Callithrix jacchus: one gene and its partners. The protein of the gene in region 2 binds, or shares a complex with, the protein of the main gene of each other region. Links are inferred from orthologs where the notes say so. Each region holds a gene or a part of one and is shown on either strand. Other genes may lie near its edges.

What was found.
Region 1: LIMS1 (region 2) and PARVA share a complex: the UniProt entries of both Homo sapiens proteins name them as parts of the heterotrimeric IPP (ILK-PINCH-PARVIN) complex. The link is inferred for Callithrix jacchus from reciprocal best matches to the Homo sapiens genes LIMS1 and PARVA.
Region 3: the proteins of LIMS1 (region 2) and RSU1 are in contact, whole or in part, in a crystal structure (PDB 7LT9), measured with the Homo sapiens proteins. The link is inferred for Callithrix jacchus from reciprocal best matches to the Homo sapiens genes LIMS1 and RSU1. Residues at the interface, in NP_001180417.1 of Homo sapiens: Cys252, Phe253, His254, Cys255, Asn256, Leu267, Asn268, Lys269, Ser279, Thr280, Cys281, Asn282, Thr283, Glu293, Phe294, Asp295, Met296, Lys297, Cys303, Lys306, Phe307, Pro308, Glu310, Leu311, Arg314, Leu315, Lys317, Leu318, Ala319; in NP_036557.1 of Homo sapiens: Asp21, Ser23, Asp24, Gln44, Val46, Ser48, His49, Val67, Asn69, Phe71, Asn72, His90, Asn92, Met95, Glu112, Asp115, Thr117, Tyr118, Arg137, Ala138, Tyr140, Ser142, Asp143, Ile161, Ser163, Arg165, Asp166, Glu184, His186, Gln188.

What each region holds. Positions count from the first base shown.
Region 1 is NC_133511.1:78,269,041-78,279,825, forward strand, and holds the start of PARVA (alpha-parvin), read left to right. Parts: upstream 1-3,670; 5' UTR 3,671-3,763; coding exon 3,764-3,899; intron 3,900-10,785. UniProt on the Homo sapiens protein: Plays a role in sarcomere organization and in smooth muscle cell contraction. Required for normal development of the embryonic cardiovascular system, and for normal septation of the heart outflow tract.
Region 2 is NC_133515.1:20,414,007-20,424,266, reverse strand, and holds part of LIMS1 (LIM and senescent cell antigen-like-containing domain protein 1), read left to right. Parts: intron 1-57; coding exon 58-178; intron 179-615; coding exon 616-765; intron 766-2,963; coding exon 2,964-3,114; intron 3,115-3,681; coding exon 3,682-3,774; intron 3,775-5,070; coding exon 5,071-5,119; intron 5,120-7,448; coding exon 7,449-7,524; intron 7,525-7,714; coding exon 7,715-7,862; 3' UTR 7,863-7,906; intron 7,907-10,260. UniProt on the Homo sapiens protein: Within the IPP (ILK-PINCH-PARVIN) complex, binds to F-actin, promoting F-actin bundling, a process required to generate force for actin cytoskeleton reorganization and subsequent dynamic cell adhesion events such as cell spreading and migration.
Region 3 is NC_133508.1:17,409,787-17,419,639, forward strand, and holds the end of RSU1 (ras suppressor protein 1), read right to left. Parts: intron 8,345-9,853; exon of another isoform or gene 8,212-8,344; intron 7,904-8,211; exon of another isoform or gene 7,242-7,903; intron 5,299-7,241; exon of another isoform or gene 4,697-5,298; coding exon 4,594-4,696; 3' UTR 4,057-4,593; downstream 1-4,056. UniProt on the Homo sapiens protein: Potentially plays a role in the Ras signal transduction pathway. Capable of suppressing v-Ras transformation in vitro.

The DNA of each region.
Region 1 (10,785 bases), on a different chromosome or scaffold from region 2:
GGGTGTAAACACGTACTCATTTTTGTTGGGTGTTTCAACAAACACCCAACCTGTAATTGAAATTAACCTATAATTGAAATTGATGATCATAAGGTATGTATGATGGTTGGCTTTAGTAGGTATTGCCTCGGCTTCATTTTATACATGATGGGAAAAATAAATGCAGCAAGGGAAGAGATTTATCCAAGATCACCTGGCTGCTGAGCTAAGATTGGAACTTGAGTTTATTCTCTTCCAGTGTGGTGTGTCTAGACCCCAATTTCAAGAGGCTGCCTAGAGATTCAGCAGAGTCTCACACAACACACATTTAATTGATTATCTGTCCTTACAATCTAATCCCTCGTGTAAGATGAAAACCATGACCAAGCATGAGCAGGGCTGCTGTTCAGTGGAGACATAATTGTAAATACCAATTAGATTGGAGGGAGCTGGTACGAGGTCTTCTCCTCATCTTATCCAAGAACAGCATGCAGCGTGTCTCTGACTAAGTAAGATTTAGATTCAGTCGACATCAGTGCCAGACCCAGAGATGGTGCTTTCCCACAGAGTATCTCATTTAATCTTCCAAACAAAAACCAGATCAATTCACATTCTTAAGGATTCTAAAAGCATATCAAAAGCGAGTAGATGAACTCTGTAAGTAAACAGGAACAATGTAGAACAGAGCTTCCCAAGCAATCTGTGCTAAAGGACCGATTCATTGCAGAGCAATATTTTTGTAAATAAAATAAAAATAAAAATTACTAGCAAAATTGAATGAAAAGATATTCGAAATATAAGATTCTGATTCTCAGACATAAGTGTTGTTAAATTGCTATAAAAGTTTCTAAAAGCTCTCAATTTCTACATTTATATCATTGGCTAATAACGGTATCCAGATCAATACTGGTTTGCAGAGTATGCTGTGAGCAGCACTGATTTATGATTCATCACCCATTCCTACTGGTCTTTTCAGAGAGAGTGATAATGATCTCACAAGTAGAAATGCTTGAATAACAAGATATCGGCATAGTATCGAGGCCCTGCAAACCATTCACACCAACGCAGGTTACTGAATACATTAACAGGACTTGATGGTTCCCCTGTCTATCTTCCAAAAATTTCTTCCCCAGGAAGATAAAAGTTATGAATAACTTTCTTATTCTTTTCAATAACTCGCCCCAAAATTTCATCAATGAACATAAACTCATTAGACTTTTGAATAGATAGCATAAAAAAGACTATTTACTCTGCAAGAGTCTAGGAAGGCTTTGCCTTGAGTCTACCAGTCCTAAACTATTACATCATGATCCTTAGTCAAACTTAATCAAGCACCACTGCGCTGAAAGGCCTGTCTTAATCAAGATTCTAAAACTTATAAATATCCCTCCTTTGCCTTCCCCCACTCCAAGATGCTACTAAGACTCTGGCAAGGCAGGGCTCTCCTTATCATGGGGTACAAAAAATGCAGCTTTGCCTTCTTCCACAGCTTATTTTGCTGATATTTTCTGGGAGCTACCATTCAACAATCAAGACTCTATTCTTCCGTTTAGTGTTGCTCAGTGGTTTTCAATGTTTAGTGTACATAACAATTCCTGAGGAGTATTATATATGCAAAAGCATGCATGGGCAATTGAAGGCATCTCCAAGAGTAATTTGATTATGCCACATTTAGGACTAAGTCTTGCATACAGATATTAGCAATTTTTGAAAGAAGAGAGAACCACAGACTGTTAGAGCTGAAAGTAGCCCTAAGTGGCAAGACATCAGTGTGTGAATCAGCTATTAATACACTGAAATTACCTGATGTAGTCTGTTTAAAACATACCTATCCCTTGGTTTCACCTGAGATCTACTGAATCAGGATTTCTGGAGATGGGGCCTGTGAATGTAACAAACTCCTAGGGGACTGTGATGCACAATCGAGTTTGAGAACCACCATTCCGTACCAACCATTTCATTTTGTAGATGAGGAATGGGGACTCAGAAAAGGGAAGTAAACCTTCCCAAGATCACACAGCTATTGAGCTGTGTGTCTCTTAATTACCTGACAAGAGCTCCCGGGGCTGGAGATATGCTTTTGGAGATGTCCTGTATCTGATATCCTGAACAAAAATGATTAATGATGTAATCAAAACACAGTTCTATTTTGGCTTCTCACCATCCCTTTAAGATTTATTGGCTAGTAATCTTCCCAGGCTAACAGACATCATGACTTCTCTGCTTCTAGGTAAGAGGCACCAACTAAAGTAGAATTAAAAAAAAAAGTAAAATTATGACTCTCAAGCAAAGATAAAATGAACCTATACAGTGTTGAGAACCTATTGACTATCTTGTTTATTACATTTTAGTTCTACTCAGAAACTGCTGCTTGTCAGTTTATTTAGTCTAAGGAAAGGTAGATGGGTTAATAAAAGGTTGAGATCTTCTGGGAAGGAATTGCAGCTGGCCCTGACAGGAAGTGCAAGTGGGGTCTGGGAAAAGATTCAAGGTCCAGGCAGCTACTCCCCATGGTTTCCATTACTCAGACCACGTGGCTTCTTGAGCACACTTCTTAGTTCCATTTTTTTGTTTCCCTACTAGTTAGCATGCACGTGGCTAGAAACAGCCACCCCAGTCTTGACTGCGAATGATCATCAGTCATGTGGACAACTTCTGACAACAGTCTCTCCAGCTTAGGGCAGAGTCTTAAGTGGGGCTAGCCGATAGGCTGCTCTCCAGTAAAGCAGTAGCCCCCTTTGGCTCAGGTGTTCACCTAGGTTCAATCAGCTGTAGCCTAGAGGGAAGGGGCCACAAGGAGGAAACACAGTTGCCAAGGCGCTGTGAGTCTGTGTGTGTGAGAGAGAGACGGACAAAGAGCCCGTGTGAGAACTTGAGGTGTGCAAGCACAATAAATAACACATGCCTTTTCAATCATTTCCAGTATGAGTCCTTCCAACACTGCGCTTTGTGTGACTCCCCTGTTATCTTCAATGAGTCTGGTCGTCAGTCTCTTGCTTTTACTTAGGCAGGGTAAATTTGGGGAAAGGTCCTGTAGGAGCTTATGGTTTTGTCTTTCCCATTCATGTTTCTGCCACCATGTGGGATCTTCCTTTGTATAAACCACTGAGCTGCTAGAAACACGGATGTCTTACAAGAATAAGAAGCCTCGGCTCTACCCTTGTGCACTCCAAGTTTCTCAGTCTTGGATGGGAGAAGAGGTTGACGGTCATGGATAGATTCAAGAGTGACTGGCTGTGCCCACTTTGGTGGGGCCTGGACACATTTTGGTTCACTCCAGTAATTTCTTCCAGGAGCTGCAGTCTCGTGGGCACAAGACGTGGATCTAATAATCCCACAGGCAGCAGGGCTGGGGAAGAGCCAGCCCGGCTGGAAGGCCCTGGGGCAGTAACAGGGTTGGGTTGGTTCTCAGATCTGCTTTGCGCCAGGCTGTGTGGTGCCTGGGTAAATGAAGCTTTCCGCTTCGAGCGCTCCTAAACTGAGCACACAGGGACGGCCTCGTGTCCTGCGAAGGACAGTTTTGAGGCATCCTCCCTGCTTGGGGCAGGCCAGGGGCGCAGGGTGCAGTCCCGGGAGCGCAGCTCCTTCCAGGACAGAGGGCGGCGCGAGGGAGGGAGCGAGGGAGGGAGCGAGGGAAGGGAAAGGCGAGCGTGAGCTGCCTCAAATGCTTGGAATAATTCCGCTTCCGTTTGGAAAGCCGCAGCCTCAGTCCTGCCGCCGCCCGCCGCGTCCGCCCAGCGCTAGCTCCGCGTCCCGACCGGCCCGCGGCTGCCTGCGCCGCGCCATGGCCACCTCCCCACAGAAGTCGCCTTCTGTCCCCAAGTCCCCGACTCCCAAGTCGCCCCCGTCCCGCAAGAAAGACGACTCCTTCTTGGGTAAACTCGGAGGGACCCTGGCCCGGAGGAAGAAAGCCAAGGAGGGTGAGTGCGGCCGAGCCGGCCGGTGGAAGCTGTGGGCGGTGGAAGCCTGTGGTGCCGGAGGGGCTGAGGGGCCCGGGCGCCGGGGCCGGGCGGGAGCGTGCCGCGGGTGCCCGGCGCGGTGGGGCGCGCAGCAATGCGTGCGCGCGCTTCCTGGGCACGTCGGGCAGGAGCGACGCGCGCCCCACACTGAGTCCGGGGCTCGCGGGCTATCGGGGCCGCCCCGCCCGCTCGCGGCCGTCCGGGCGCTGGCTTCCTGGGCCGGGGACCAGGCCGACGGCCCCGCCGGGCCGTGGGCGGGCGCCGCGTGGCGGCCGGAGGCGGCGGGACCCGAGCCCAGGCCGGGCCCCAGCCCTCAGGCGGCGCGGTTCTGTAGGCCCTGCCCCGCCCTCTGCGCCCGAAGGCTGGCATTTCCCAAGTTTCCGCCGCAACTTTCCTGGGCGCCGTCACTCTCACTCGTTGCCTTCATTGGTCCTTAAAATCAGGTCGTTTCCTGGACCTGCTGACGTCCTCTGGCAGCGGCGTCGCAGTGTTGGCCTCTTGGGATCTTTTGTCCATCCCGAGGGCCGAGAAGGGCTCTGTTAAATGGGAGTAGGTGGACTTCGAGTGTTTGTTGAATGAATGAGCGGAAAACTGGCAAACCTAGTGTACCTTCGGTGTAATAATACATGGTAAACTCCCACCCAAGGAGAAAACTTGCCGGGGACACAAACATAGCCATGGGCCTCGGCCCTGCTGTGAACTCAGGTATTCAGGGATTTTGCAAGCACCCCCCCCTCCCCCCGCCAACCAGGGTTAATTGAGGAGACCTTATACTTTGTTTTTTTCCCCCAGAGTGGTTTGCACGTAGAATATTTTTTCCCCAGGAGCAGATTTTGCATCCTGGTTTTTGGTTTGAAAACAGGTGGCAGTTCTCAAGCACAGTGGTGATTGCTGTGTAGATAGAAGCTGAGTTAAAAATTTTTATTTTAAACATTTTTTAATTGATGCATGATGTACATAGTTTTGGGGCACATGTGATAATTTAATGTAATTTATAAAGATCAAATTGTTACAGGAAAGGGGTCCGGATTCAGACCCCAAGAGAGGGTTCTTGGATCTCACGCACCAAAGAATTCAGGATGAGTCCATACAGTAAAGTGAAAGCAAGTTTATTAAGAAAGTAGAGGAATAAAAGAATGGTTACTCCATAGATGGAGCAGCCCCCAGGGCTCCTGGTTGCCCATTTTTATGGTTATTTCTTGATGATGAGCTAAACAAGGGGTGGATTGTTCATGCCTCCTCTTTTTAGACCATATAGGGTAACTCCTGAACGAAGTGGCCGTGGCATTTGTAAACTGTCATGGCGCTGGTGGGAGTGTAGCAGTCAGAAGGACCAGAGGTCACTCTCATCACCTTTGTGGTTTTGGTGGGTTTTAGCCTGCTTCTTTACTGCAACCTGTTTTATCAGCAAGGTCTTTATGGCCTGTATCTTGTGCTGACATCCTGTCTCATCCTGTAAGTTAGAATGGCTTAACCTTTTGGGAATGCAGCCCAGTAGGTCTCACTCAGCCTTATTTTACCTAGCCCCATTCAAGATGGAGTTGCTCTGGTTCACATGCCTCTGACAAAATCAGTGTACTTGGGATATCCATCACTTTAAATATTTGTCTTTTCTCTGTGCTGGACCATTGGAATTCTAGATATTTTGAAATATACGATAGGTTATTATAAACTGTAGTTACTTTACCAGTCTAACACTAGGTCTTATTTTTTCTATCAAATGGTATATTTGTAACCGTTAATCAACTTCTCTTCTCCCCTAAAAAATGTTTTTAATAGATTACTCTGTGAATTGGAAATAACCTTTTGAAAGCTGTGATGATGTGTAAAATGTGTTATGTTTGTAAATTATCTAAAAGTATAAAAGCATCTTCAGTGTTGAGGATTATCAGACTTGGTGAAGAACCAGACTTCTGTTCCCTAGATTGAAACAAGAAGTAGCAAAACACATGAAAGTTTCTCCACAATTTGGTTATTTTGGTAACCCATTGAGTAGTGTACAGTTGGTGGCAAATCATGAAACCCTGGCTTGGAAAACGCTTTTCTAGATCATATTTCTAACTTCTTCCTCACAGCTTTCCTGACATAGGCTCATCCAGTTTAAGATGGGGCAACTCAGAAATATTGAAGCTCATGACCTACCAGGAGAACCATCTTTACCTACTCTGTAGAAAGGTTTACTTTATATTTAGCCCAAAATTTATCTCTTCATACCCACTGCTGTTGGTGGAGCCAAAGAATGAGTCCAAGGTGGACTTTTATTAATACCTTGCTGACGTAGGCTATCCTGCTTTCTAGAGTCCTCTCCACCAGGTCCAACATCCTCTATCCCTCACAGACATAATTTTAAGGCCCTTTGCATCCTGTCTGTTTAGTTTCAGTCAGGGTCGCTGCAGGAAAAAGGCCAATTTAGTTGAGATTTTGAAAATAATTTAGTGAAGGGGCTATTGACAGAGCTGTGGGCAGGGTTAAGGGAACTAAGAAGGGATGCTAAGGTCCCTAGGGGCTAGCAACAGGAAGAAGCACTTACCACTCCAAGGCCTGAAGGGACAAGGGCAGCAAAATGGAACCTGTTACAAGCTGGGGCTATGGATGAGGGGTTACTGGACAGGAACTGTAGTCATAGAGGGATGCAGCCACTGCCAGAAATATGCAGGCGGAGCAAGGAGAGAGTGACACAAGAAATGCACATTCTGCATGTTCTCTCTCTTCTTGCCCTTGCATCTCCTACTGGTGTTGAACCCAGTGGGGAGTCATCAGAGCAAGGGATCTGGATAATGCAATATATAGAGGCAGCTTCCTTGGGGCACAGAGCAGTGCAGAGAACAGGTCACAGTAGGGACAGGGTAAATGGAGAATACCTAGCAGATCAACCTGTTAGCAGACACGCTCAAAGTGAGCTCTCCAGAAGTCACCGTAGTACAGTTGTAATGCAGATCAGCCAGCCCAGATTAGGACTGTCGCCTCCCTTATTCTAGTACAGACACTATGTTCTTTTAATGCAGCTAAGATTGCTTTTTGCCATTCTGCCAGCTATGTCGCATTGTAATCTCTCATTGAGCTTTGCTATCAGCTTACTCAAAGACATTTTTATATTTGTTGCTCCTAAATTACACCCTTCCCTATCTTGGATTTACTCAGTTGGGTTTTTGAAACCAAGTGCAAGATCTTATTTTCATCCCTGTTATATTTCACTGTAAAGTCCTGATTCTGTCATTCAGTCTGTCAGCTAATCCAGGGGCTGTAAATAGATGAATGGGAGAACACATAGCCTCTTCTGAAGGGCTGGCCACCACCCAGCTCCAGCTGCTTGCTGCTGCACATGGTGTTTCTGCAAGCCCAGTCAAAGAAGGCAGTGGGTTGTTCTGAAATGACTGTCCTTAGTGAGTATGTGCTGGATCGCAATGATCAGTGCTGAAGTGATGGTTGGTAGGTGTAGGGCCCCATTAACCGTCAATTCAGTAATAATAAGGCTGGGTCTTGCTCTGCATGCTGGATAAGCTCACAGCTTTATGCTCTGTAGAATCTGCCTTCTTTTACTTTCTCCCTGGTGTTCTTGAACTTGTCATTCCTCAAGATCACTGCCATTAGTCTGTCCACAAATTATCTCCATGCTTTGATGTAGAATTCTCCTGGGCCCAGGGACTCCCATTCATTCATTTGATACCTGCTGTACCCCGCTCTAGGACACAACAAATGGAAAGATATAATACTTGTTAGAATATAGTTGACCCTTGAACTATATGGAGGTTATGGATGTTGACCCCCTGTACAGTCAAAAATCTGTGTATAGTTTTTAACTCCCCCCATACTTAACTACTAATAGCCTACTGTTGACCAGAAACCCTACTGATAAGTCAGTCAACACATATTTTGTATTATATACTGTATTCTTTCAATAAAGAAAACTGGAGAAAAGAAAATGTTCTTAAGAAAATCATAGGGGAAAATACATTTGCAGAACTGTGCTATATTTATCGATACCATAAGTTTACGTCATTTGTCTGAAATGGCAGGTAACCACAGCTGCACACCTCAATCTATGGTACATATCAAGCAATTCAACTTAGAATGTCATGACTTTCTCTGATACTTGGGAGTACTTCTAGCGTCTCTAGTGGCACTTCGTTAGAGTCCCATGCTGTTAGTCAAGGTTTATGGTATTGCACTAAACATGATGAAAAATACACGAGAACCTCAAGAGATCACTTTTAACTGCCATACACAATTTACTGGAGAGATGAACTGTTCCTGTCGAGATGATTAGCATCACACGGTGTTTTAAGCAGATACTTGCAGCACTTGAGCTCACCACAATAGCAACAGGAGGTAGCTGTGGAATTATTACTGTAGTACAGTATGTACGACAGTTCATTTTGTGCAGTGAGGATTTAATACTTCACCTTTACGTTTACATTTCTCTCAACTGCAGATGGCATCAGGTACAGTTTTTGTGTGTCTGTGCACATTTTGATAAGTTCTAACTTTTTATAATAGATTTGTTTATATTTTATTGTAGCAAATGAGAAGGTAGACAAGTATCGATGTATATTTAATGCATTTATGACATGAGTAACTTTTTTTTATATTTCTAGGCTACATGGTTCATCTGCAAGGTTTTTCTAATTGTCACAAATCTCCAAAAACATTTTCCCATATAGTTATTGAAAAAATTTGCATATAAGTGGACCCTTGCAGTTCAAACCTGTGTTGTTCAGGGATCAATTGTATTATGTTAATAATGTCATGTAAAAAATGTCCTCCTAAGGAAACCTATGTCATAGAATGACGATGAGTCTCATAAGAATGGCTCACGCCTGTAATCCCAGCACTTTGGGATGCCAAGGCGGGTGGATCACGAGGTCAAGAGATTGAGACCATCCTGGTCAACATGGTGAAACCCCGTCTCTACTAAAAATACAAAAAATTAGCTGGGCATGGTGGCACATGTCTGTAATCCCAGCTACTCAGGAGGCTGAGGCAGGAGAATCGCCTGAACCCAGGAGGTGGAGGTTGCAGTGAGCCGAGATCGTGCCATTGCACTCCAGCCTGGGTAACAAGAGCAAAACTCCATCTCAAAAAAAAAAAAAAAAAAAAGAATGCATTCAACTAGTCATCACTTCTTTGTTTTCTGTGTTTTCCTAATAAAAAGTAGTGTTAGAGTCCAAGAGAGAATAGGGATTAAAATCATGGTCTTTAGGATCAGACACATTTCAATTTGACTTCTGATTCAACCGCTTATTTATTTTATGACTTAAGACAAGTTCCTTAACCCCTGTAAGCCTCTGCGTCTTCATCCATAAAATGAGAATATGAATTCCTTCTCTACATGGAAGTCGTGAAGTTTCAATGAGATCAAGAATGTATAATGCATTGCACGGCACAAATAACGGTACCTATTAAAATTGACAACTCAATTTTCATTGGTCTTTGAAATTTGAAATAGTCTTTTAATTATGGGCTGCATGGCTTTTTCAGGTTCTGTAAATAGCCTAGTAGCCCATGACTGTATGGAACCTGCGTGACATTATTTTGTCTCTTTAGGAGTTCAGGGATCTTTCTTTGCAAGTGAGATTTTCCTGTTTCCCAAGAAGTCGCATTTCAGCACTTTATGACAACCATCCTCAGACCACAACCCTCCATTTCTCTTTGTCTTATGGTGTCTTTCTTATGATGTCATAAGAACACCATTCTTATGAGTTGTAGCTTAAGTGGCTTTTGTTTTTCTCTGTTGATCTTTTTCTTCTGGGTTTTCAATCCCATTTATGTTGGACATGGCCCTTCTGTGTGGATTCTTAGACTACCATTTCAGAGTCTGCTTGCCAGAGGGCCGCTTTCAACTTTCTTTCTCTGAATCTGTTGTCAAGACTTGCTCTTTCGAGGAACACCATCTTGAATTGTACCTGTCTGCTGAAGGCACCTGAATTAGGCTGGCAGCACTGGTCATTCCTGTCATTTACCCATTCACTTAAGTTTTTATCCCCCAGAGTTTTATATTTTGATGACCTGAAGTATCCAATGAAGGCTTTAATTTCATAATTCTTTTAATAGTACTGGTTCTTACCACTTGATTATCATTGGCTGCCCAGTGTTGCTGGAGACAAATGTATGGTTTCTAGAGTGAGTAGCACCCTTAGCACTGCAGAGCTATCCTTTTCTTCTAATCAGTGTGCATTCTCATTTTTCTAAAATATATCTTTTCTCATAGAGATGGGGTCTTGCTATGTTGCCCTGGTGGATCTCAAATTCCTGAGCATATCTAACTTTTTCTTAATTTTTTTGATATTTCTAGATCACATCATTTATCTGCAATTTTTTTCAAATTGTTGCAAATCTCAAAAAAATTTCTAATACATTTATTTTAAACATTTACATGTATTGAAATTCAAACCTGCATTGTTCAAGGGGCACCCCTTGAACAATTGGATCCATGTTATTGTCCACAGCCCCTAGACCCCTTTCGTGGATCTTCAAATAGAAAATTGAGACCAGCTATGAGCTCCTTCAAGTTCCCTTTCTACCATATTTGCCCAGTCCTCATCCATATGTGCAACTGTCCTTTTGTGCTCCCTTCCGGTCATAGTCCCTTCCAAGGAGGTCCCTTCTTTCCTTATTCATAAGGGCATTTCTTTCAGCTTTCTCCCAGACTTGGCATAGCCAGATATGCTATTTCTCATTTCCCATCTTTTTTTGCCACTCTGTGGCCCTGACGTTCTGTAAATATACTTGAGTATTTTCCATTTGGAGAAAATCTCCTGATACTGGTTTCCTTTTAAGCTACTCACCAGCTGCCTTGAAAGAGTTCTCTCTGCTTGGCTTCTCTTCTTATCTCCTAGTCACTTTCTGA
Region 2 (10,260 bases):
TGCTTGTTACTTAGGATGTTACTTAGTAACATCCTTTGTTGTGTTGCTTTCCCACAGGTGAATTCATCATTGGCCGAGTTATCAAAGCCATGAATAACAGCTGGCATCCGGAGTGCTTCCGCTGTGACCTCTGCCAGGAGGTTCTGGCAGATATTGGGTTTGTCAAGAATGCTGGGAGGTAGGTGGATTTTCATCCTTGTCAGATGTCAGTGGATAATGTGACTGTGACAAGATCATGTGTATTCTCCATGTGGGATGTAAGGCAGTTCTGTAGGACACCGAATTGAGGGCATGGGAACTTGACAGTGCAGTGTGTTGACTGAATGTTGCTGCTGGGAGTGGACCCTTGTGTTGCTGTGCACAGGGCATAACGGCTCCACGCATGGCTCAACTACCAGCGGGGGATGTACATAGGTGGAGTTTCTTAAAGATCAGTCAGATATTGGGGTTGGAACACATTTTCCATGTAGCTTGATTCTGCTCTGTTAAAAGCAGAGGAGTGATTTTTTTTTTAAAGAAATTGTTTAATTTCTTTTCAGAGATAAGGGAAGCATGTTTCTTTCTAACTATTAGAAAGAACCTAAAATTTTAAATTTAAGTTTTGGCTCCGTTTAGACACCTGTGTCGCCCCTGTCATAATCGTGAGAAAGCCAGAGGCCTTGGGAAATACATCTGCCAGAAATGCCATGCCATCATCGACGAGCAGCCTCTGATATTCAAGAATGACCCCTACCATCCAGATCATTTCAACTGTGCCAACTGCGGGTATTGGGATTGTTTCTTTTTTATTACACAGGCAGTGGGAAGGAAAGATTCCGTTTATCTATATTTCTGTTACTCTAGCAAACCAAATTGTTTTTCTCCAATTTTTAGTCTAGAAAATATTAAAACTATAGAAGGGTCAAGAGAATGATATAATGAAATCTGTGTACCCTTAATTTTATTTCACCATTTAACATGTTATCATGCTTATGTGTGTACAATACACGTTCTCGTTTCACCCTCCCATGTATGTGTGTACGTGTGCATGTATACACATGCCTCTAAAATTTCTCATGACTCAGTATACATCTCCTGAGAATAAGGGCATTTTCCTATGGAACCACGATGCTTTAAAAAAAAATTTTTTTTTTTTAATTTTTTGTTGAGACAGGATCTCACTGTATCGCCCAAGCTATAGTGCAGTGGGCGATCATCACTTGCTGCAACTTCAGCCTCCTGGGCTCAAGCAATCCTTCCACCTCAGCCTCCAGAGTAGCTAGGCAACAGGTACATGCCACCCTTCTCGACTAATTTTTTAAAATTTTTTGTAGAGATGGAGCCTTGCTATGTTGCCCAGGCTGGTCTCAAACTCCTGAGCTCAAGCAGTTCACCCATCTCAGCCTCCCTAAGTGCTGGGATTACAGGCATGAGCCACTGCACCTGGCCAGAACCACAGTACTCTTACCATATAAATTAGCAAAAATTTTATAATATCAACTAGCAGTCCATATTAAAATACCCCCAATATCCCCAGAACTATTTGTTATCACTGTTTTTCCAATAGAAGATCCAAAAATAACCTCAAAAAAAGGTCTTATCTCTGTACATGCATTACTTTTACAGTTGTAATAATTAGGTATTATCTTAAAATACAGTGTTATATTTACTTTGGCTTGGTTTACATCTAAAAGAAATTATTTAATTTTTTGTCTTCAAAAAGTTATGATAAATTGTTGGGCTATGAATTTTCTAAATTCATAGTAAAAATTTAGTGGATAAAGATTCTTTACTGTAGTTAATGTGAACTTACATGCTAAATTATATTAGGGATAGAGAAGAAACAGTAGGCTAAATATTAAGAAAACTGTTTGGTGGTATAAGTTCAGCCATTTCATCTTTTGTGATTGAATTATCAGTTTGTGCTGTATCTTGTTTTCTTGCCTATCCTTCCTCTTGGGAGATTCTCCTCTGTCCACTTTTCCTATAGAATTACTTCAAAGGGGTGAAATTCAAACAAGTCCATTTGACTAATTGGAACCATCTCTGACCAAATGTTTATTGATGCAGGAGAGTGAAAATAATATTTAATTTGAGTATTTGGAGAAGGAAAATTATGGGCATGTGTTTATGAAAATAAACCTAAACCGATTAACCTATAGCTCTTTTCAACAGCTTGTGACAATTTAAATAATTGTTAGTAAATGGAACTAGTCTATCAACTTCTCAGTTTGCTTGGAAAGGTAGTGTCTTAGTCTCTTTTACGTGCCTATGACAGAATACCACAAACTGGGCAATTTGTAACAAACGGAAATTTATTTGGCTCATGGTTCTGGAGGCTAGGAAGTCCGAGATTAAGGGGCTGGCATCTAGTGAGGACCTTCTTGCTGCATCATAACATGGCAGAGGGCATCACACAGTGGGTGGGAGGAGAGGGAAAGGGAGGAAGAGAAGGGAGAAAGCTGAAGTTGTCCTTTTATAAGGAACCCACCCCCTCAGTAACAGCATTAATCCATCCATGAGGGTAGAGTCTTCATGATCTAATCACCCCTTAGAGTCCCTACCTCCTGACACCTGCATTGGGGATCATGCACTTTGGGGGATGCATTCACACTACAGCAGGTAGTATTACTGAATCTACCCTCAGCACTGTGATTATTCCCCATAGCTTTTAAAGGAAGACAAATGGACATAAATGTAATGTGATTATATAAGAAAGAAATGATGAATATGACTGGTGTGGTGGTATATATCTAACCTAGTATTGCATCTTATCCTTTTAAGATACAGATGTTTTGGTAAGAATCTGAAACCTATTCGGACCTATTAATTCAGGTTACTCTGATCACCTCTAAAGGGAGAAAAAGAAATTTGCAGGGATTGTCATAGTAATCTCTTTAAAAACCTTTTAAAAGTTGTCCTGGCCCTATCGGTTGGCTATTTTTCTCTCTTGGTATTAAGCTGGGTGTCTTTCTCACGAATAGGAAGGAGCTGACTGCTGATGCACGGGAACTCAAAGGGGAGCTGTACTGCCTGCCATGCCATGATAAAATGGGGGTCCCCATCTGCGGTGCTTGCCGACGGCCCATTGAAGGGCGCGTAGTGAACGCCATGGGCAAGCAGTGGCATGTGGAGGTAAGTTGAGAGTAACCAATCGTTTCAAACTTCTGTGATTCAGCAGTAATCAATCCTTTCAAATCTCTATGATTTAGGGGTAACCAGTACTTTCAAATCTCCATGATTCAGGTGTCCTGGCAAGATTTAGGAGATTCTAAAGGTTAAACATGGACATTTTAAAGACAACTGACTTGCTGACTGTTCAGAATATAGAATATATACTGCTTTTGTGAATTTCTCAGTAATGATACAGGATGTAGACTTTTGCACCTAAAGCCTTCCTGAAGCAGGAAGTGCCATGGTCTGTATCCAGCAGCAGCTCCTCCTTTATAGGTGCTACTGGGGTACTCATCTATTTGCTCTTTTTGGGCTATTGTAATAGGCTATGTCTTAAAGTAACCTGTCAAAGATAGACACGTGAATTAAAACTGCAAAAGTATTATATTAGGGAGCTACCTATGGCCAAATCAAATGACTATCTCAAACGTTCGTTCATCTTCTCTGAAGATAGGTTAACTTTGTGGTTTATTTTATTAGATATAAAATATGGCAAATCAAAAATGACCTATAGCAATTTTTTTTCAGCATTTTGTTTGTGCCAAGTGTGAGAAACCGTTCCTTGGACATCGCCATTATGAGAGGAAAGGCCTGGCATATTGTGAAACCCACTATAACCAGGTATTGACCTTAGTCACTGGATGCTAGATAGACTTTATGAACTTTGCTTATCAGTAGTTTAGCTACAAGGAAATCTCTTGGAAGATATACATTGTTCAGGAGAGATGTTTTTAACTATTTAGGAAATAATTTCAGACTCAGAAGCTAACTATAAAATAAAAAATAAAAAGAATACCTGTATGCTTTTCATTCAAGTCCACTGTTTACTTTATCATTTTCTATGCTCAGTCTTGCTGTGTAAAACACCTACTTACATAAATATTATACACAAATATGATGGCTGTTTCTAAAGCATTTGCCAATAAATTCATCATACTCCTTTACCCCTAAATACTTCAATATGTATTTCCCAAGAATATGAGACTCTCTAACATAATTGTAGTTATCAGTATTGATATCATACTTTAACCCATTTATTCTAGTTTTGTCACTTGAGTCAATAATGTCCTCACAGCAATTTTTTCTACTCCTAGAAAAAACAGTCTAGGGTTGTGATGTTTTTTTAGCCTTCTTAAATCTGGAACATTTCCAGAGCCTTTTTAAGTTTTTGATGGTATTGACATTTTGGAAGGATGCAGAGGGCCCCTACCCCCTTTTAATAGACTACTTTCCACTTGGGTTCTCTGTGCTTTCCACTGCTGCTTCTCTGTGGTTAGATGAGGTTATACACAGCAGGTTGCAGCCTCACACAGTAGCAGTGCATTCTCTCAGAGCCTTGTCCCTGGAGCCCTTCATAATCACCTCTCTTGCGCTGGTGATCTCCCAGGCACAGTGCTAGCTGATAATATCACTATGAATTACAATTTCCTTCACTCCTTTGTAAGAAGGAAGCAATCTGTGGGCCATCATTTTATGACCATGGAAATGTCTTGTTTCTCATCAACCCACCACACCTTTATGATTCTTGCTTCTGCACCAGCTGCAAATGACAGTTCTCTAGCCCCACACTCTCCACCCATAGTCTGGTCCTCAGCGCTCTGCCTGAGCAAGAACCTACCTCCTCTGCCATCTATAAGTTTATTCATTTATCTGTTTCCTATCCATATATACTCACAGATTTCTATATTTCACATTACTTATTTGGGTGCTCAAATTGTCTTCTGGAAAGATTTTTTTTTAATTGATGAAAGTGAATTGTTTTCACTGTAAAAAGTAAAAATTTGTCAAAGAACTTTTACTAATTTTCTCCAGTAGTGATAAATTCTTGATTTAGATAACCAGCTATTTGTTTTTAAATGTTCCGTATTGTAAAACTTAATTCTAACACATCTTGAACCACCTTTTTTTTATTTTCAGCTATTTGGTGATGTTTGCTTTCACTGCAATCGTGTTATAGAAGGTGATGGTAAGTATCTGTGTGAGTTTTAGATTGGTACCACTTTGACACAGAAACACTTGGGCCATGTGGAAATTCAGGTTGGTGATTGCTGTTGTTTGGAATGTGATCGTTATCAGTTGCTTTTTCTCTTTCTTTGGTGTATTTCCCAAGTAATCTGTAGCAGTAAGATGATAATATCAAAGAGTTGGATTTGTTACTCATTTATGATACTACTTTCAGCCACTGCCACAGTGTTGTATGCCAGCAATCATGGGAACTGTCCCTAGTGGACCATAGACCTGTTTCTGTCCAGTTCCAGGAAGCTCCATAACAACATTTATTAGGAACAGTTTAATCTGCTATGTAGTTAGGAAGAGGCACTTTAACTTGCACATGCTAAAACCTGGCAGTTATCAGCAAGCACATCTAGGACTTACTACCCCTTGTACTGTGGTAATTAGGTTGGACTGATTGACTGGAACAGAAAGGAAGCAGCTGTGTTTGCTAACAGTTGCTAACACAATTCTGCCAGAGACTTCCTGGCAAAGTTTTGAACAATCCTGTTTTCAGCATGATTCATGGCTCCCTGCAGACATCACCTAATTCAGGAAATACTTTTGAAACACTGTTCATGTGCAGTTTGTGAAAAGATTAGTCCAGGAAAACAATCTTCAGTGCCATTGAAAATAAAACTTACCTCCCTCCTCTGTGAAACAGACACCAGGTAAAAGGAGCTACAAGGCAAACTTTCTTGTTATCATCAGCTCTGGAAAAAAGACTCCTACAGACAAATACGTTAATGCCTGGATTTTTCAAAATTATTTACCTAGTTCATATTTCCTTGTTGGGCCAACAGCAGTAGGTACAGAAACACCAAGCTCACCTAACCAATATCATGCATGGACAGTCACCACATGTGCCTGGGCCAAGGGGGCATGGTTGCTGGTGTAAGATATGGCACACATCATTTACACCTTCATAGGATACTTAAGAACAGGGAAAGATTAATGTCAGCCCTCCATATCCAAGGGCTGGATCCAAACATTTGGTGATACAACCAACTATGGATCAAAAATATTTAGAGAAAAATAACAGTATAAAAATAGTACAGTATAATGACTATATATCATTTGCATTGTACTAGGCATTATAATCTAGAAATGATCTAAAGTATGTGAGACAGTGTACATAGATTATGTGCATTTTATATCAGGGACTTGAGCATCTGAGATTTTGGTATCTGCACAGCATCCTAGAAACAGTATCCTGCACATACTGAGGAACAACTGTACACATAAAGGTTGAGGGCCAGGTATGGTGGCTTACGTCGGTAATCCCAGCACTTTGGGAGGCCAAGGCCGGAAAATTGCTTGAGACCAGGAGTTCAAGACCACCCTAGGCAACATAGACTTCCATCTCTACAAAATAAAAATAAAAAATTAGCCAGACATGGTGGCACACACCTGTGGTCCCAGCTGCACAGGAGAATGAGGTGAGAAGATTGCTTAAACCCAGGAGTTCTAACTGTGATCACATCACTGCAATACAGCCTGAACAACAGAGCAAGACCCTGTCTCAAAAACAAAGAAAAAAAAAAGAACCTCTCAAGAAAGAGGTTCTTGGCTGGGCATGGTGGTTCATACCTGTAATCTCAGTATTTTGTGATACTGAAGCAGGCAGATTGCTTGAGCCCAGGAGTTCAACACCGGCCTGGAAAACATGGCAAAACCCTGTCTCTACAAAAAATAAAAAACTAGCCAGGTGTAGGCTGGGCACAGTGGTTCATGCCTATAATCCCCGCACTTTGGGAGGCTGATGCAGGTGGATCATGAGGTCAAGAGATCGAGACTATCCTGACCAACATGGTGAAATCCCATCTCTACTAAAAATACTAAAATTAGCTGGGCATGGTGGTGCATGCCTGTAATCCCAGCTACTCAGGAGGCTAAGGCAGGAAAATTGCTTTATCCCAGAGGGCAGAGGTTGCAGTGAGCCAAGATCATGCTACTGCACTCCAGCCTGGCGACAGAGTGAGACTCCATCTCAAAGAAAAAAAAAATTAACCAGGTGTGGTGGTATGCACCTGTAGTTCTAGCTACTCAGGAGGCTGAGATGGGAGGATCACTTGAGCCCAGGAGGTTGGGTCTACAGTGAGCCAAGATTGCACCACCACACTTCAGCCTGGGCAACAGATCAAGACCCTGTCTCATTAAAAAAAAAAAAAAAGGGTCTCCCCGAGGTGCCACAGACACAGTCATTGCAGTCATAGTTCTGTTTTAGAGTTGAAATTCTAAGCTGCCCTGCTCCCCATACTGATGTATTTCCATGTGACCAGATCTCTTTCCTCTTTGTCTAGTGGTCTCTGCTCTTAATAAGGCCTGGTGCGTGAACTGCTTTGCCTGTTCTACCTGCAACACTAAATTAACACTCAAGTAAGTCTATGGTTTTGTCCAATGTGAATCCTAAGACTGAAAACTTTGGGGTGACACTTAAAAAAATCCTAGAAAAAGAGAATTATTTGATTTCTTATTTCCTCTTTCTGTTCACGCCTTCTGAAAGTAAAGGGTCTTCCTTTAATTTTTCCCTGTTCTTTCTTCTATTCCTTCTTTGTCCTGCTTAAAGGGATAAATTTGTTGAAATTGACCTAAAGCCAGTCTGCAAACACTGTTATGAGAAAATGCCAGAAGAATTTAAGAGGCGACTTGCCAAACGCGAGAGAGAAGCAAAGGATAAGGACAAGCAGAAAAAGAAAAAGCCAGTCTGTTTGTAAACTTTTCTATCCCTCTGTCATCATTTTCACTACTTTCTCCTTTGGTTAGTCCTTTGGAATATGTTTTTGTTCTGTTTCTGCCTTTTGCTTTCTTCCTCCCCCCTACCCCCACAACTTTTGGGCATGTATTTGTAGTCATCAGAGATTGAAATACAAGCATTTGTCCTCTTTAGAGTTGGTCCTTTTGCATAATTACTAAAATTACAAATATTAAATGAATATGCTCCATACTTAATACAGGTTTGTGGTCATATATTTCACTTACTCTGTAGACTCACTCACCTCATTTTTTAAACACCATGTTATACATTTCTATTTTGTTCATGGATTTAAAGGGAAGAATTCTAATCTCTTAATAGACCCTGGAAAAAGTTTTCAAGGATTTTTGTCTAATAACTGTAGCTTTTAAAATCCTGGTTTTTTTGTTTCTTTGCCAAAATCATTTAATTGTTAAATTATAAGTGTTGTTTTATATTTTTTAAAATATGATATTTTTTAAAACTTATGTTCTAAGTTATGTTTTATATTATTTCAGCATAGCCAAGCACAGTGGCTCATGCCTATAGTCCCAGCACTTTGGGAGGCTAGGGTGGAAAGATTGCTTGAGCCCAAGATTCTGAGACCAGCCTGGACAACATGGCCAAACCCCATCTGACAAAAAAAAAAAAAAAAATCAACTTGGCGTGGTGGCCCATACCTGTAGTCCCAGCTACTCAGGAGGCTGAGGTTGCAGTGAACTATGACTATACCACTGTACTCCAGCTTGGGCAACAGAGTGAGACTCTGTCTCAAAGAAAAAAAAATCTTTCAGCATATTTCACATCTAGGCAAAGTCCATCTGATTTACATAAGACATCTTCTTCTGTGATGTTTATGTATGCATTCATACAATGCTCATATGCTATTGTTTATGAATTCATTTCCTCAATGTCTTCAAAGTCTCTTTTATTCCTGATTTTTATGGGAAGTATTTCAATCCTTGACGTTCTCTTAAATTACTAGCATGATTTTTCCATTTTTCCCTCATAGTTACCATTGTGTTTAGAGCTCTAAAAATATTTTGTTTCAGTTTACATGTTTCCTTCTATAAAGAGGAATTAAAATGTAAATATAAGATTAAAACAATGAGCCGGGCATGGTGGCTCACGCTTGTAATCCCAGCACTTTCAGAGGCCGAGGCAGCAGATCACTTAAGGTCAGGAGTTCAAGACCATCCTGGACAACATGGTGAAACCCCGTCTCTACTAAAAATACAAAAAAATTAGCCAGGGATAGTAACTGGTTTCTATAATCTCAGCTATTCATGAGGCTGAGGCAGGAGAATCACTTGAACCTGGGAGGTGGAAGTTGCAGTGAGCCGAGATATTGCCACTGCAATCCACTCTGGGCAACAGAGTGAAACTCCATCTCAAAAAAAAAAAAAAAAAAAAAAAGATTTAAATAGTAGAAAGCTTACTAAGTTAGTCTCTCCAGAAACAAGAATAATTTTTTTCTTTTATCAAAAAAAAAAAATGGCACTTTTAATAGCTTTTGCTCTAAGAAGACCTTGGGAGAAAAACTGTAAAATAATTGCCAGTGTAGTGTTTTAAAATACAAGATTTTTCATTTTAAATATGTATTTAGGAATTACCTTTGTTATTAACATTGTCCTTTAAAATGATCTTGAAGCAAAGTCTAGCTTAGTGTCATGTTTAAATGTAGTAAAAATATCAGCATATTTTATCATTTTTCTTATAGATGACAGTATACCACTAGATTTATTTCATAAATGCTACCTGAATATAATTTCACAGATACAACAAGTTATCAAGTTGTATATTTACTCAGTTCAAAATTAAACACTGTGGATTTCAACAGTAATAAGCTCCTATAGCTGCCTGTTGGAAATGCATTACAGATGGTCAGGAGGCTTGTCTGAAAAGTTATCTTCTCCAGGACTATTTAACAAATAAATCGATATGTGCTCTAGCTTCTCAAAAGAATGGTTGAGTTCTTCAAATAGCTACAATTGACAATACAACCACAGGTGATCTGGTTATATTTATGTAAAGAGTGATTAAAAACTTTCTTCCAACGTTTCTGTCAGATAACCAAAATAATCCCTTATAATTTAAAATTAATTAAACCACATAGCTACCTAATTTAAATTACTAAGTAAGATTATGTTGCCTCTAATAAAGAACTCATTCACATTACAAAAATATGATTCTTTCCTTTAGATGAATTTATCTTTAAGGTATTCTCAAGCTATTTTAAAATGTGATTACCAGCCTGGGCAATACAGCAGGACCGTTTGGCTACAAAAAAATTTTTTTTTAGTTAGCCAGGCTTAGTAGTATGCACCTGTGTCCCAGCTACTCAGGAGGCTAAGGCTGGAGGATGGCTTGAGCCGAGCAGT
Region 3 (9,853 bases), on a different chromosome or scaffold from region 2:
TCCTCCATCCTTCTGCCACTTGCCAGCTGTGGGCCCTTGAGGGAAGTTCCTTCTCTGAGGTCAAATTCCCCACAAAAGAGGATGTCCATTGAGTGAGAATGAAAGGAAATGTAAGTGGCTGATAGACGAACAGGCTTCAGTCAATGAGCTCTATTATTGATAAAAGAAAATAGATTAAGGGGAAAATTTAACAATGGCAAATCACCAAATTCTACTGTGTATAAAAGAAGCATGTGGTAAGAGGTAATACGTAAAATGTTTATGCAGTCTTATCGGAAACATGATGTTAGAACCCAGGAATCTCCTAAAGCTGTTATTGATGAGAAAATCAATTATAAAAACAGGCACACACCATATATGGTAGGATCACATGTTACTATACATGGAGAGAGATGCACATGAATAATGGCTAATTTTAGGTCACAAAATGTCCAGTGCAGAACAGAGACTTTTCACTTTACTTGCCAGTCTGCTGCCTCTAAACATCTGAAATTGACTCAAACTGACAGGAGCGGTTTGGAATTTGCCTCTGACATGAACCCCTTCCTCTGGGTTTATACAGGTAAATTGGGGTGCCAGCCCTTTCTGGTTCTGTTACTGAAGAAATTGATGGCTGCTTGAGGAAGGCTAAATGGTCAAGTATGTAACAATTGGGTAATTATAAGAACCACCAAAAAATTGGGTAAAGGCTTGAACTTTTACAGGGTTGTATAAACTCTCACCTATAATAATACTTGCAGATTGTTTTCTTCCTTAGGGGAATTTGGCTTTGATAAAGTAGGCTTGAATGACGAAGCAGAAGACACTAAAGGAATATCTAGGAATTTTTCACTTCCCTCTTCCTTAATATTAGCTTTATATCATCCAAATAACAAGTATCCAATTTGTAGTCTATTCAATTAAATAATTACTGAGCCCCTACTGTATACAAGGCACCATTCTGGGTGCTGGGGATGTAACAGCTGATAGAATCATCAGCAGTAGTTTCTCTGGAAAGGACCAGGCAGTAAAAAGTTTTTGCTTTCTGAGCCATAGGGTCTCTGTGTCAGCCAGTCAGCTCTGCTGTGGTCACATAAGAGCAGCCATAGACTGGCAGGGCACGGTAGCTCATGCCTGTAATCCCAGCACTTTGGGAGGCCCCGGTGGGCGGAAGGGATCACCTGACATCAGTAGTTTGAGACCAAACTGGCCAACATGGTGAAACCTCATCTCTACTAAAATTACAAAAATTAACCGGGTGTGGTGTCAGGCACCTGTAATTCCAGCTACTCAGGAGGCTGAGATAGGAGGACAGCTTGAACCCTGGAGGCAGAGGTTGCAGTGGGCAGAGATTGTGCTATTGCACTCCAGCCTGGGTGACAGAGTGAGACTCTGTCTCAAAAAAAAAAGGGGGGGGGGGCGGGGGATAGGGGGCACCTTTCAAACTTTGGATATTTTGTTGATCCAGGTATCAAGCAACTAAAAACTGCAGGAAGAGATGTGAAACCTGTTTTGGTAACAAAAAGTGAAAATCCCCCCACCCCGAACATTGTATATTATGCCTTGAGCTTAAATATATATATTTCCTGGATTGCATAACATACCATGATATACCAATTTCATTTTGAAAAATACATGTGTTTAATATTTTCTGATTACAAAAGTATGCGTTATAAAAAATTTAAGTACAGAATGAATAAGTATAAAATTCTAAAAAGTCTCAGTTCACCATACACAGAGATAATTTATCTGCCTTAAAATTGTGTTCCATCTCTATTTAATTTTTTATGCATACATATTAAAAACACAGCTTCCTTTTGACACAGCTGGGACCATCCTTACATAGTTAATTTTAAAAATCTTGCTTTTTCTACTTAATCATGTTATGATTCTCTCTCTTTGCCCTTACTGTTCAACAATTTTTTTTTCTTGGAAACAGAGTCTTTCTCTATCGCCCAGGCTGGAGTGCAGTGGCGTGATCTCAGCTCACTGCAACCTCCGTCTTCCGGGTTCAAGCAATTCTCCTGCCTCAGTCTCCCAAGTAGCTGGGATTACAGGTGCACACTGCCACGCCCAGCTAATTTTTTGTATTTTAGTAGAGACAGGGTTTCACCATGTTGCCCAAGTCAGTCTCGATCTCCTGAGCTCAGGCAATCCGCCCACCTCAGCCTCCCAAACTGCTAGGATAACAGGTGTGAGCCACTGCACCCGGCTGTTGCTCAACAGTTTTTATGTCCCTGTAAAAGCTTCACGCAGATACACCATAATTCACTGAACCCTTCTTCCACTGACACGCATCAGGCTTTTCTCTGTTTTTCTGCATATACAATGGTATAGCGGCAATTCCTAAACGTTGCAGTTTGTGTGAATCTCTGATAATTTCCTTAGGATACATTTCTAGAAATTAAAATTCTAGGCCCAAGTACAGTTTTAAGGTTTTGCTACCTATTGTCAAACTGCTACGACCCTTCTGGAGAGAAATGTACATTCCCAATAGCAGTGTGTGAGAATGTTTATTTCATGTTAATCCTCTTGCGCTTCATACTGCCATAATATTTGCACATTTCTCATTGTTACACATGGCTTATTTTGCTCTGATTTGTGTACTTTAAAAATATATTACCAGTGAGTCTTTGATGACTGCTTCATGTTTCTTGGAGGTATTTCATTCCTGTGTGTATCTGGAGTTTTCATCTTTTGAAAAAAATGACTCCTAAGAGCCCTGCATATTGTTATATTTTTACTAATGCTTTCTTGCTGGTTTAATTTTGGGTTAAGTTTTTCTGATCCACAACAGCAGAGACATTGTTCTCCCTCCTGCAATTTCACAAGTTAAAAAATCAACTAAAAAAATTCAGGCAGTCCTGGCATGGTGATTCATGCATATAACCCTAGCACTATGGGAGGCCAAGGCGGGTGGATCACAAGGTCAGGAGTTCAAGACCAGCCTGGCCAACACAGTGAAGCCACATCTCGACTGTAAATATGAAAAATAGCTGGGTGTGGTGGCGGGCGCCTGTAATTCCAGCTACTTGGGAGACTGAGGCAGAAGAATCGCTTGAACCCGGGAAGCGGAGGTTGCACTGGGCCAAGATTGTGCCACTGCGCTCCAACCTGGGTGACAGAGCTAGACTGTCTCAAGAAAAAAAAAAAAAAAAATTGAGGGAGAGACAAACACGGCATCTAGAAAAACAGTGATCAACTCTCTATCCCAAAACAGGTGATGGCACCCGGGGAAGCCTCTTCCCACAGTTAAAAGTTCTATCAGGAAGTTGTCCAGAGCCACAAGTTCAGACCTTGCTCTGCGGCCTCTCTGATTGAAATGCAAAGTCTGTTTCCTAATTAACTCAGAACTTTTGTTTGATTTTGATTTTGGCTTTTTAAACACCCCAGGGGAGCACAAGTGAGAAGCTGAAAGTACACAGCAGAGAAGGGTGGGCCCCCTCTCCCAGTGCATTCGAAAAGACGTCGCATCTTCACACACCTTTCTTCCGTGCAGGTCTTCTGGGGTTGGCAACCCTTTGAGTGGGCGCCAAACCTCAGCCTGCATTTATTTTCATTTTCAGACACAGCACTGTTGAGACGAAGGAAAGCTGTCTATCACAGATGTTAAACAATTGGAGGTGTAATGACTCCGCAACTGCAGTTTCCACACTGGGTGTGGTGTGGTGTGTGCACATTTACACAACTTCTTTGGCAACAAAGTCGCTTAGGAGGATGCTCTGATGTGAGCAGATTTTCTGCCGAGACAAAAAAACATAGTTGAGGGTTTTATCTCTCTCCCTTTCACAGTTCTTGTCTACCAGCCCCTGGCAGAAATCACCATTTCTTCGGCGAAGGAATGCTAGTTTCCAAAATCCTTTGGCAGAATCTCCTAGAGAGTTGTTTTTCTGCTTCCTAATTTAGAAAGAAGTCTTCAAAGAAGAAAAATAAAAAAAAACTTGACAAATTAATGTGAGAAGAAACGAACTGTGATATAATTTTGCATTTCTTTCATGAAAAGTTTGAGTTTATCATCTATAACCAATAAAATTGGACAAGATAATCTTGGGGAGAAAAGTAAATGAAAACATGCTGTACCCCATGATCGGACTGTTCTTTATTTTGGGGTCAATAAGTAACGTGATACAAACTCAAGACTTTATTAAAATATCATTTGTAAGTGAAATTAACATATCTCAGTGGTGAAGGAAGACTTTTAATAAAGCAAAATAATGAGTTATGTGAATCAACAGGAAGAGTGAAAAGTACTAAAATGTCACTAAAAGTGACATTTAAATGGTTACATGACTTTAATTATTCTTTGGATAATAAGCAACCTTGTGATGTCTATTCAAGAAAAGCCTGTGCCCACTATGCAATTTGCAGTTGAATAAGAGTTTTGTTCTATGCTTTTGGTAATGTAAAAGAAAAACTGGAAACGGTTTAAAGACCTTGTAACAATCTCCCACCTACCAGAAGAATCTAAAAGGTACGGTGGGAAGCATTAGAAAGAGTGAAAAGAAATATAAAAAAGGCCATACACGCATTGTGTTTATTTGAGAGACAGAGCAAGAGTGAGTGAAGTGTTGGAGAGAGAAGGTGCTGGAAGGCCACCTGATGCCAACCCCTTCCTTATCTGTTCTTGGCCGCCAGGGGTTTCCGGCTGATCTTTTTCGATTTGTCATTATTCTTCTTTGGTGGCTCTGGGTTGGCCTGCATGTGTCTGCCGTAGAGGCTGCAAAGACAGAGACAGGAAACCATCAGATCTATTTTGCCAACACAAGATACGCTTTCATTGGAAGAGCTTTCAGGAATAGAACAATCTCCAGAAATATTCAGTAAGCCAAAGAAAACCAAAAGATCACTTGCGTGTTCTCTGGGTCATATGCTGTGTTGAATATAAAATTCTCTTACACACATACGCCATGCTGTCCAACCATGGACCAGTCTCTTGGGATTTCACACTCACTGGGAGAACCGGTCAGGCCCAGCTCAGCTGTTCTGGACTGAAGTTAAAAAGCTTGTGAGTGTTTAAGTCGACAGTGGTAAAAATTGGGTTGAATGGAAGAGACGGAGTGTCCATTTAGTGAAGAGTGAGCATCAGGCTTGGCGTGAAAGCCCAGGGCTGGGTGATGTGACAGAGAGCAATGGTGTCCAAATCTGCACTGGCTGCTCACCCATGATGGATGGCATGGGGCTGGCTACCACACATCAATGCCACGTTAATAAGTACCGCTGATGAAATGCTGACAAAGTGCCCTGTAATTACGGTGGATGGCATTCACTGCACACTGAAACTGGCTCCATCGCTGAGAGGATTTAACTGAACAGCAGAAGGTAATTAATTGATAATCTATGAGTGATTCTGATTAAACCAAATTAAAAGCCACCCTAAAATAAACACAGCTCAACCTTAGCTCCTTTTATGGATATAACTGTGTCTCCACGAGAGCCTGGCGGGTGTCTCAGGTCCTCTACAGCAAGGACATTACCAGGCTCCACAGCCTGTGGTTGACTTGAACCAAGTGAAGGAGGGCTGGCACAGAGACTGGCATCTCTACCAGGCGGCCCCAGCTCCAACATCCACGCAGGGAATATACATATTTTCTCTGGATGCTGGAATCTTGGGCAGTTTAGTATTTACTGGCATCTGGCGTTTTTTTTTCTGAGCTCGTGTCTCACTCTGTTGCCCAGGCTGGAGTGCAGTGGTGTGATTTTGGCTCACTGCAACGTCCCCTTCCCGGAGTTACTGCACTTAGAGGCGCGTGCCACCATGCCCGGCTAATTTAATATTTTTAGTAGAGACAGGATTTTGCCATGTTGGCCAGGCTGGTTCTGAACTCTTGACCTCCAGTGATCTATCCGCCTTGGCCTCCTAAAATGCTGGGATTACAGGTGTGAGCCACCGTGCCCAGCTGAAATATTTTTCATAGACATGGGGTCTTACTTTGTTGCCCAGGCTGGTCTTAAACTCTTGGCCCCAAGCACTCCTCGTGCCTTGGCCTCCCAAAGTATTGGGATTGCAGGGATGAGCCACCCTGCTGGCCTGCAATAGTGGTATTCTGGATGACATTTGCAGCATGGCTGAGGGGGCAGGGCTGGCTCATGGAACTGCCCAATTCATTTTGTGACCCAGGAAAGCTGGACACTGGTTCTGAGGGCATGCTGTGTTCTAACTTCTCCAGCCTTCCCAGTGTCTTAGTGGTGGTACAAGCAGGTTGCATGACAGTCACTCTCCCACAGTGTAGAATGCAGGGTTCAGAGCTGGCCAGGGACAGACCCACGAGCCAGGGCGGGCACATGCAGTCAGGTGCTGAGCCTGCTTTAGGAAAAGGGGAGCCCGTTCTTTTGCATCAAGAAGGTTCTGTATGTCCTAGACAGAGAACATTAGAGCCTGCAAATTAGCTTTCGACTTCTCTAGAAATTAGTTTAGAGGTCTTTTTGCTGGTGTAAGGGAGACAGCAGCCCTGTTCTGCCCAGCCTGGCTGTGCCCTCTCTGAAGCCACAGGAGAAATATGTCAAGATAATCTGCTCCATAAAAACACATTTTTCAACCTATAGGGGCTCCCCCAGCCTACACTTTTAAATGGGTCAAGTTCCCCTGAAGATGAGGCCATGGGCACCTGGGGGTCCTGGGTCCCAGGTAAGAGACCACTGGTTTAGACACGGAGGAACCTTCAGTGGGCCCAACCTTCCCTCTGTTGCTGCCCCCAATTTCCAAAGATATCTGTGTCTGAGTCCTTGAAACCTGGGAGGATGTTACCGTACATGACAAAAGGGGCTCTGGAAGTTTCGAAGTTAGGATCACCCCGTGCTGGACGGAAAGCTCACCCTGCATTAGCCAGGTAGACCCAACTTGTGTTCCTCCCCCTCAGCATCTCTCTGAGATGCAGCAAATAGAGGAAAGTAGAAGCCTCCATTCTGTTCATCCTGCATGCTCCAAAACATACTTACTGCTCTACTAGCATCTGCCCTTGTCCTGGGATGTTGATGCCCAGGGCCACTGGCAAAATGCTCAGGGGCATAACACTGCGGAGGAGACACCCTGAAGGGCTGAGGTCTCCCAGCTCCTCTCACCTGGCAGGAAGCAAGGGTCTGACTCTGTTCTGTGCCTTCACACCTGTGGCCTCGGCAGCTTCGGCTACACTCACAGCTTCCTTACAGCCTCACAGAGCTTTCCTCTATTTTCTGACCTGTTTTTCCCACAGAGCAAAAACATATATATGCACATTCTTATTCAGACAGTTTCCAACTTTAAGAATTCTTTTCTTTTTTTTCAGATGGAGCCTCACCATGTCACCCAGGTTGGAGTATGGTGGCACTATCTCAGTTCACTGCAGCCTCTGCCTCCCGAATAGCTGAAAGTACAAGTGTGCACCAGCAGGCCTGGCTAATTTTTGTATTTTTGGTTGAGATGGGGTTCCGCCATGTTGGCTAGGCTGGTCTCAAACTCCTGACCTCAAGTAATCTGCCCACCTTGGCCGCCCAACTGTGCTGGGATTCCAGGCATGAGCCACACACCCAGCCTCCAAACTTTAAGGATTGTAAAAGTCAACAGAAAGATGACTCCCCAGTTCATGCACATGGAAACCTAGCAATGCTTGAGTGCAAAGAAAGGGTCTCGGCAATGATACGAGGTCAGCAGAGGGAGAGGAGCAGTCAGAACTGAGAGGAATTGACAAGACGCTGCTTTGTGTCACGTCTTGAATGAGGGAAGGGCCGAGGTGGGGGTTGGGGGTTCCCAGAAGGGGTGGATGTTCACCTGGGCCCTGAGGATGGGAATCCAGGCAAGGGATTTCAGAAGGGGTTGCAAAGGCCGCAGGGCTCTTCTCCTTTTTCAGGGAGAACTGGAATGTTTCTGTCTCTGTCTTTTTATATTCAGATCCCACTGAGTGTGTCAGAACATCCTGGGGCTGCGGAGCAAGTCACTACAAAGGGCCAGGTGGGAGCCAGTGGCCCTGAACTTGCTGTTCAAATCCTGCTTTTGACGTTTATTAGCTGTTGACTCTGGGCAAGTCATCAGCAATGTTCGCCTCCCTCTCCGTGCCTCAGTTTCTTTATCTGTAAGCTAGAGATGGGGTTTGTCTTCCTTGCAGGGTGGTTTGGTAAGCCTGCCAGCAAGGTACCCTACTGGAAGCAGCGAGCGAAGGCTTGTTGAAAAATAGGGCAGACGGGGCGGGGCGGGGGGGGACAGTTTACAGTCTAGAGTGATTAAATCCATATAATTATATGATTACCTTCCTCCTTTAGGGCCGTTTCCCCTGCAAAATAACACGGTATTTTCTATCAACGCTAAATCCCCAAACACCTCTGGAACAAAGGGTTTAATCCTCTTTGAAGAAAGCACCTGAGGCAGAGCTAAATGCGTCGCCCCACTTCCTCGGTGAGTCATCGGCAGGGCTGCGTGACGCTGCTGTCCGCCACAGGATCCTTTAACTCCTCCAGCTGTGTGGGCAGATGAGAGGTGGTGTTTTACTAAGCGGCCATAAGTGGCCATTTTCACGGGGACATGGCTGTGGCAGTGCAGTCACAACAAGATGTAAAGTCTGGTGTTCCATTACTGGCTCTGCCAGTTGATGAGCCACGGGGCTTCAAGTAAGGGTGGTGGACAGAATAATGCCCCGCCCCCCGAAATAGCCACATCCAATGCCCGAAACCTGTGACTGTTAATTTAGATGGCAGAGGGGACTCTGCAGCCGTGACTTAGTTAAGAACCTAGATGATCCCGTGGGCTCAGTGTCATAAGAACGGTTCTTAAAAGAAAGAGGCAGGAGGGGCCAGGTGCAGGGGTACACATCTGTAACCCCAGCACTTCAGGAGGCCAAGGCGGGAGGACTGCTTGAGGCTGGGAGTTCATAACCAGCCTGGGCAACATAGGGATACCTTATTTTTACAAAAAGCAAAAAAAAATGTAGGCAGGTGTGGTGGAGCACACCTGAAGTCCCAGCGACTTACTCGGGAGGTTGTGCTGGGAGGATCAGTTGAGTCCGGGAGTTTGAGGCTGCAGTGAGCCATAATCACGCCACTGCACTCTAGCCTGGCAACAGCGCAAGACCCTGACCCTAACAATCAAAAAGAAAACCAGGAACGAGGGTCAGAGTGAAAGATTTGAAGACGTTACCCTGCACCCTCTGAAAATGGAAGAAGCAGCTATGAACCGAGGAACACGGTGGTCTCTCTAAACCAGAAAGGTAGGGAAGCACATTCTTCCCTAGAATCTCCTGAAGGACGCGACCTACTGATTTCAGACTTCTGACATTCAGAACTGTCAGGTAATCCATGCATTTGTTTTCAGCTACCAAGTTTTTGATAATCTGTTAGAGCACCAGTAGAGAACTAACCAAGTAGGTGAATGTCTCTGGGCCTCTTAGGGTGACCTGTGAGGATTCTGCTTAATTTCAACAGGAAAAGTGAAAAGTTTCTAGGGTAACTGCTTACTAAAACGTTGGAAAAATGAAAGAAGCAGGATTCTGATAGGCAAGGTGTGCCCCAAAGGAAAAATGGTGCTATTTCTACCAGAGGAAGTGAAAGCAGGTTTGCAAACTGTCTTCTTGCTACTACGAACTGGCTGGTCCGTGTTCCCCTGTCCTCTGAAGCTATCCCTGGTGACCTGTGTTTTGCATGAACCTGGGTTAAATTTTTTAAAATTATATTTTAAGTTCTGGGGTACATGTGCAGAACGTGCAGGTTTATTACATAGGTATACACGTGCCATGGTGGTTTACTGCATCCATCACCCTGTTGTCTACATTAGGTATTTCTCCTAATGCTATCCCTCCCCTACCCTCCCCCCCCACCGCCCTACAGGCCTGGCGTGTGATGTTCCTCTCCCTGTGTCTGTGTGTTCTCATTGTTCAGCACCCACTTATGAGTGAGAACATGTGGTGTTTGG